Linked DNA regions of Oryctolagus cuniculus. Each later gene encodes a partner of the first gene's protein in a complex. Links are inferred from orthologs where the notes say so. Each region holds a gene or a part of one and is shown in the gene's direction. Other genes may lie near its edges. The genes, in order: IRAK2 and IRAK4.

What was found.
Region 2: the proteins of IRAK2 (region 1) and IRAK4 are in contact, whole or in part, in a crystal structure (PDB 3MOP), measured with the Homo sapiens proteins. The link is inferred for Oryctolagus cuniculus from reciprocal best matches to the Homo sapiens genes IRAK2 and IRAK4. Residues at the interface, in NP_001561.3 of Homo sapiens: Tyr6, Ile36, Lys44, Met48, Glu59, Trp62, Trp63, Trp64, Gly65, Met66, Arg67, Gln68, Ala69, Gln73; in NP_001107654.1 of Homo sapiens: Asp24, Phe25, Pro28, Gln29, Lys34, Glu92, Phe93, Phe94, Ala95, Pro96, Ser98, Val105.

What each region holds. Positions count from the first base shown.
Region 1 is NC_091441.1:116,663,962-116,667,866, reverse strand, and holds the start of IRAK2 (interleukin-1 receptor-associated kinase-like 2), read left to right. Parts: upstream 1-1,445; 5' UTR 1,446-1,511; coding exon 1,512-1,605; intron 1,606-3,905. UniProt on the Homo sapiens protein: Binds to the IL-1 type I receptor following IL-1 engagement, triggering intracellular signaling cascades leading to transcriptional up-regulation and mRNA stabilization.
Region 2 is NC_091440.1:134,906,853-134,910,657, forward strand, and holds part of IRAK4 (interleukin-1 receptor-associated kinase 4), read left to right. Parts: intron 1-82; coding exon 83-192; intron 193-3,805.

The sequences.
Region 1 (3,905 bases):
TTAACTAAAAATCACAGAAAAGTGTTTTCAAAGATTTTATGTCTAAAAGTTTTATAGAATTTTTTTAATTTTTAAAAAAAATTTTAAAAAGATTTATTTATTTATTTGAAAGAGTTACACAGAGAGAGGTAGAGACAGAGAGAGAGAGAGAGAGGTCTTCCATCTGCAGGTTCACCCCCAAATTGGCCACAATGGCCGGAGCTGCACCGATCCAGGAGCCAGGAGCTTCCTCCGGGTCTCCCACGTGGGGTGCAGGGTCCCAAGCACTTGTGCCGTCTTCTGCTTTCCCAGGCCATAGCAGAGAGCTGGATCAGAAGAGGAGGAGCAAGGACTAGAACCGGCGCCCATATGGGATGCCGACGCTTCAGGCCAGGGTGTTAGCTCGCTGTGCCACAGCACTGGTCCCTAGGGTTTTTTTTTTTTTTTTATGGCCGGCGCCACGACTCACTAGGCTAATCCTCCATCTTGCGGCGCCGGCACACCGGGTTCTAGTCCCGGTCGGGGTGCCGGATTCTGTCCTGGTTGCCCCTCTTCCAGGCCAGCTCTCTGCTGTGGCCCGGGAGTGCAGTGGAGGATGGCCCAAGTGCTTGGGCCCTGCACCCCATGGGAGACCAGGATAAGCACCTGGCTCCTGGCTCCTGCCATCGGATCAGCGCGGTGCGCCGGCCGCGGCGGCCATTGGAGGGTGAACCAACGGCAAAGGAAGACCTTTCTCTCTGTCTCTCTCTCTCTCTCACTGTCCACTCTGCCTGTCAAAAAAAAAAAAAAAAAAAAAAAAGCTAATGTGGGAGTCCTGTCCCGGAGGGACCCAGTTTAGATCTCTGGAGGTCGGGCTGGGCGTCTATAGCGGCTTTGTTTTTCTTTAAATTTTTATTTCCGTGTTTGAAAGGCTTGTTCACTCCCAAACACCTGCAATAGCCAGGACCGGACAGGCAGAAGCCAGGAGCCCCCTCGTGGGGGCAGGGACCCGAGGCCTTGACCATCACACGTGCGCCTCCAGGCTGCTGGGTCAGAGGCGGAGCCAGGACTCGAACCCGTGGACACACGTCCCTCCACGCCACAAGCCCGCCCATACTTACCACTGTCCCACACATTGTGAGCTTGTTCAGTGCGGACCTTGTTGGTCTCCTCTGCCCTGCCGGTTCCCAAGTTCTACAATGTGGCCTGCGGTTGGTGACCCATAGTGTTTGTGAGGATAGCCCTGGACGCGAGGGTGGACAGGGGCTCAGAGTGGAGTAGGAAGCCTGGCCGCTGGGGGGCGGTAGTGGCCCCCACTCGGACCCGCCCACGCCCGGCCCCGCCCCTCTCCGGCCCCTCACTGGCTCCGGCTCCGTCCAGTCCCGCCCACGCCCGGGCCCGCTCCTCTCTGGCCCGCCCAGGGCCCGCTCTTACTGGCTCAGGCTCGTCCGGCCCCGCCCCCTGGGCCCTGGCCCCGCCCCCACGCCGACGAGGCTCCGCGCTGGCCTCGCCGGGCCGGCAGTCGCTCGCTGCGCTCCGTCGCGGCCGCTGCCATGCCCTGCTACATCCACCAGCTGCCCGCCTGGGTGCTGGACGACCTGTGCCGCAACATGGACACGCTCAACGAGTGGGACTGGATGCAGTTCGGTGAGGGCCGCGCGGGCGGGGCTCTGTGGTGGGGTCTGCGCGGCTCGGCGCGGGCCGGGGGCGCGGCGCGGGTGGCGTCGGGGGTCCGCGGGCGGCCGCCGTCCCGACTGGAGGCGACGCTCGCAGCTTCCTCAGGAAGAGCTTCTGCGGTTTGCGCCGGCGCGACTGGCACTGCTGCCCCAGTAGCGCGGCCGTGAGCTCGGCGCTTAGGCTGTTCGTGCAGAAGCCGGTGGGTCCCGAAGCCGAGGGAGGGGACCCGTCGGGGTATCGGCTCGGCAGCCGGGAGCCGGGGGCGAGCGCCAGGCCGGGGTCCGGGCGTCTGATCGCCCCGCGGGGGTGTTCCTGGAGATCCCGGCCCGGGGGTCGCAGCCCGGGCAGCGCAGGTGCACCTGCGCTGTGGGAGCAGGTGAGCTCCAGTCCTGCCCGGGGTAACCCCTCCTAGGATGTGGGCGCCCGCAGAGGGCCAGGTGCCAGGATGCTCCTCATGCGTGCCCGTAGCGCGATGACTTCCGTGTGGATCTTTTCCAGAGTCTGTCTTGTGCATTCATTGTACAGGGTAACCTGCCCCCCACCCCACACCTAAAACATAGCCCGGTCATTCCCTTGTCAGACGGTATTCCTTAGCAACATGGAGTTGGGTTTTCTTTTCATGTGTATTTTTATTAAGTACGGTGAGAGAGTGAGCGAGCGAGAGGGGCCAGGAGAAATGGTCGAGGCAGTACGGTGGGATGGAGGTGTGTTCCTCCCCCATATCGCGGGGGTGGGGTGGGGTGGGGCTGTGACAGTGTCAGCTGCCGCCTCATTCTCTAGCCTGCCCTCGTTCCGGGTGCTGCAGTGGGCTACTACTTTGGATTTTTACTGGGCAGGGGACATAAGTGGTGTGGGCGACTTGTTCTAGACTTTTCCGTCCTGGCCTAGCCCTCAGTTGTGAATTCAGATGGCAGTCCCCAGGCATTCAACCAACCAACCAACCAACCAGCTTTGTTGAAACAGATTCCTCCCCCCTGTATTTATTTGAGAGGCAGTTACAGAGAGGCAGAGGCAGAGGCACAGAGAGGGAAAGAGAGAGAGAGAGAGAGAGAGAGAGAGAGAGAGAGGTTTCCATCCTCTGAGAGAGAGAGAGGGAGAGGTTTCCATCCTCTGGTTCACTCCCCAAATGGCTGCAGCGGCTGGAACTACACCGATCTGAAGCCAGGAGCTTCTTCCAGGTCTCCCACGTGGGTGCAGGGGCCCAAGCACTTGGGCCGTCTTCCACTGCTTTCCCAGGCCACAGCAGAGAGCTGGATCAGAAGTGGAGCAGCCGGGACTTGAACCAGTGCCCATGTGGGATGCTGGCACTGCAGGTGGCAGCTTTACCCGCCATGCCACAGCGCCAGCCCCAGACTGCACCTGTTTGTAGAATACAATCCAACAGCATTTAGGGTATTCACAGAGGAGTACTCACTGTCATTGTCAGTCTCACAACATTTCTGTTACCCCAGAAGAAACCCTGTGGGCTTTACTGCTCTGTCTCGGCCTCTCCACATTCCCCCTACCTGAGGCGCTGTCCGTTCCAGACATTTCCCATAAAGGAGTCACAGCATGTGTGGTCCCTGTTTCCACTGCTGAGCGATGTTCTGTTGTATGGGTAGACTGTATTTTACTTATCCACTTAGCTGCGGATGGACATCGGAGCGTTCCCGTTGTTTGGCTGTTGTGAACACTGCTGGTCAGAGTAGACGTGAGCGAGGGTTTATGTGGACATGCGGTCTCATTTCTCCTGGGTGGTTCCCGGGAGCAGAGCTCCTGAGCAGTCTGGGAACCGTGGGTTTGCCCATCTGAGGAACGGCCAGCGTGGGTATCTGGCCTTTCTGGAGGCCGTCCCCTGGCTCGCGGCCATCGTCCCGCCTCTCAGTGATGGCTGCCCTGCCCTCCTGTGTCTCCCGAGGCCGGAGCTCCTGCCTGCCTGTGGACACTCTCAGCGGGTACGCGGGGCTGGCTTAGTCCCCGGTCGTCTCCCGGTCTCAGAGTCCTGAGCTAGATTCCGCCCGCAGGATCCCCTTGGCCAGCAGGCTGTTTGCAGGTCTTGGAGTTGAGGTGGGTGTCTTTGGGGGGTTTATTCCTCTACCTTGGCCCTGCAGGTTGGCGCCCCTGGCACCTTGTTGGGGAGCCCTCTCCTGCGCCCTGCTGCTCTCCGGCCCCATCGGTTTACACCTGTCTCTCCCAGGGACCTCACCTGTGTAGGTCGCCCCTGCGTTCCCCGAGCGAGCCCAGGCCAGGTGCGGTGGGCACCTAGCGTGCACCTGAGGAATGAACTGAAG
Region 2 (3,805 bases), on another chromosome or scaffold:
CCATTATGTTCTCTGTTAAATGTTTTCCATAATTTTTTTTTCTTTTTTCCTCCTCTTTTTAATTGGTTTGTTTCTTTGTAAGGATGATACAGCACCACTTTCATGGCACACAAGATGCAACATCGCTCAGGGTGCTGCAGCTGGCATCAGCTTTTTACACGAAAATCATCATATTCATAGAGATATTAAAAGGTAAATGCTGCTATTGAAGAGCTTAGAGACAGTCACCTTCAGAGAATATGTTCTCGGTCATTCTGTTCCCTGCTGACATGTGTGCCCCAACCTAGAGCCCCTGGGCCTTCTCCTCATCAGTCTAGGAGAGCACTTTCCACGAAGGACTTCTGTAGTCTCCTCTCCCACAAACCCAGTGACCGACTGTTAGGACTCGCCCCACTTAGCCTGGCTCTTTGGTTTTGTTTTGTTTTGTTTTGTTTTGACAGGCAGAGTGGACAGTGAGACAGAGAGACAGAGAGAAAGGTCTTCCTTTGCCGTTGGTTCACCCTCCAATGGCCACCCTGGCCCGCACCGCACTGATCCGATGGCAGGAGCCAGGTACTTATCCTGGTCTCCCATGGGGTGCAGGGCCCAAGCACCTGGGCCATCCTCCACTGCACTCCCTGGCCACAGCAGAGAGCTGGCCTGGAAGAGGGGCAACCGGGACAGAATCCGGCGCCCCGACCGGGACTAGAACCCGGTGTGCCGGCGCCGCTAGGCGGAGGATTAGCCTAGTGAGCCACGGCGCCAGCCGGCTCTATGTTTTAAGAGCGTGTTACTAATACCACTGGATCAGCAAATACAAGTTAGTTTGCTCTAGGCAGGAGACTTTTTGTAATGGAAGAAATGCGCTACGAAGTAAAACATTTTTGCTTAGTGCAGGCGGCCTTTATTATTGCTGCAGAAAACAAAAGCCTGGCTGAGTTGATGATTTACATTCTCTCTTACTGACTTCTCCGTGACATGATGCTTCTTGCTGGGTTTTTGTGTACGTAAACATTGTCAAGCTGTGAAAGAAAATGGTTAGAGGTGTGCTGTGTGTGAAAGGTGAGCAATAAAGTATCTGTAAGTTAAAAAAAAAAAAAAGAGCGTGTTACTCTGTCCTTGACCATTTCACCTTGTGTAGATTTGATCCTTTCTTGGTTTGTGGGTCAATATTCTTTTCTGAATCACTGTCATCCTCTGTGAGTGCTTTCAGCTCTCCTGCTGATGTTTTTCTCTGGTTAAGTATTTCCCTACAGTAGGGAATGTACATGGAACAGATAGCAAAAGCATCATGTACAGAATTGGCTTCCATCAGATCTTCACAAGATTATAGAATTTTATTGTATTGAAATAGTGTTAGTATAAAGGAGGGCTCCCAAGGAAGTGATATTTAAGCTGAGTTTTAAAAAATGAGCAGGAAATAAGTCTTCATAACATGAGGGCAGCTATGAAAGAAGAAGAAAAGAACATTCTAGGCTGAAGGAACTGTATTTGTGATTTTAGCAGTGAAGGGAATCCTGGAATATACTGGGTTAAGCCATGAAGTGAATCAGCATGATTGGCATGTGGAAAATGCAGGAGATGTGAGGAGAGATGATGGGAGTGGGCACGAGCTGCAAGCTGTGGGACTCAGAAGTGTAATGAGACACCACCCAAGACTATGTTGGGATGTGGTGTCATGTCCAAGCTTTGCAGAGATCACTTCTTTTCTTTTTTAAAGATTTATATATTTGAAAGGCAAAACGACAGAAAGGGAGAGAGGAAGAGAAAGATTTTCCATCTACTACTTCATTTCTCAATGAAGTAGGGGCTGGGGCTGGGGTAGGCAGAAGCCAGGAACTCCATCCTGGTCTCCCACGTGGGCAGCAGGGGCCAGCACCTGCTGCCTTCTCAGGAGCATGAGCAGGAAGCTGAATCAGAAGCAGAGCAGCTAGGACTCAAACAGGTGCTCCAATATAGGACGCCGGTATTGCAGGTGTTGGCTTAGCTGGCTGTGCTGCCACACAAGCCCTAGAGAGAGGGGAACAGTGTGTAAGATGGCCAGGCAGTAGGCGATCAGCAGTCTTGGTGGGGGCAGGTCCTAGGAAGAGAAGTGCATAGATCGAGAGAGAGATGGCAGTGCTTGCTGATAGCTTGGCTGTGGGAAGGGAGGGTTGTATGAGAGAAGTGTTTTAAGAATGACTCCTGGAATGACAGCTTCCAGACCTGCAGTCTGGAATGCACGTGGCCTGATTGACATGTGCAGAAAGGAATGAAAGAGGAGAAAGTTAGGAGTGGAAGGAAAATATGAGTTCTTTATGCGTGTTGTGTTTGCTGTTTTCTTAAGGTGTGGGAGTGGTGGTGTTAACTAGACAGTGGGCTGTGCAGGTGTGGAGCTGAAAGACAGCTGAGCCGAAGGCATAAATATGTCTATTACTTGTGTAGAGATACTAGTTAAGAGTTGCTGTATGATTGTGTTCACCTGGAGGGAGAGAGAAATTAAGAAAACAGCCTAGGATTAAGTCCCAAGGAACCCTAAGAATTAGTGGCTAAGAGGAAGAGATCCCCAAAAGTAATCTCAGAAGGTACCTGCACACAAAGGTGAGATGATAACAGGACCAGAGTGAGTCCCTGGAAACACGGAGGGGTGTCCCAAGAGGGAGCATTCAGAAGAGCCGCTGGGGGTTGCAGAGGAAGTGGGAGGCGAGAGCCCAGGAGGGAGGACAAGTCTCCCAGACCTTTGGCTGCTGATGGGTGTTAGGTGCAAGTAGACACACCACCCAGGAAATGCTTTAAGATAGCAGAGATAAAAGCATGCTTATACTCAGGGTCCAGAAAAGCAGGAAAAGATTCTGTGGAAGACAGAGATGAGACAGCTTGCAGAGTAAGGTTCCTAAGAATGTAGGAAGGAGCCCAAGCAGAGGGTCTGATCTCACTCTCATCCTTAGGAACTGGTTTTTCCTCATGTCCTTGCCTTGTTATCCCGTGTTCTTGCTGCATGATATTATCTTAACTCTAACTCTCTCTCTGTAGGCAAAGAGACTCAAGTCTGTACACAGCCTCCAGTCCTGTGTTTTCAGGGACCCCATGTCTGTAGTACCTCACTTGGTTGTCCCACCGGAGCCTTCCCATCAACTCGTCAGTAATCAAACTCATTGTCTTCAGCAACCCTCAGTCAAAACCTTCCTGTTTCCTTTCTGATCAGTCAAGTCCCTAAGGCGCTGTCCCCCAAGCTAAAGATTGACTGCCTGTGTCATACAGATTACACAGTCCTGCAGCTGCCTCGAATTTTGCACTTCCAGGTTGCCAGCCCAGTCTTCTGCCTCTGTTCAGAACCTCATTATCTTCCATTCGCTTTACTATAAAACTTCCTTGTGAACCTGAAGCCAGTCTATACCAGTTCTCATCTGTTCACTGCAGCCTTGCCAGAGTGTCCTCCTAAGAGTTAAGTCTGATGTGTACTGTGAGATCTTCAGCTGGTTCCTGTTGCTTACAGAATGAAGTTCAAATGCCCAGCATGGCCGTGGACACTGGTTTCTTGATGTTGGTCCTTTACACCACATGCTTTCATGATGTCATCGTTCTTTACAAGACTCTGCAATGCACTGCTCTGTTTTCTGCACAACCATCAGCTTCAGGGAATTCCTCCAAACTAAGCTTTCACCTTCTCTTTGGAATTTTCCCCAATTCTTGCTGACACATGGTTCTCTCAGCATTTCATACCTACTGCTACAATTATATAACATTTATTGATTTTAAAAATATTACTCAAATGCCTTTGACACAGACAAGATTCTATGATTCCTGCCTGCTCCATGCCAGGCATTGAGCCTAAATACTATGAAAG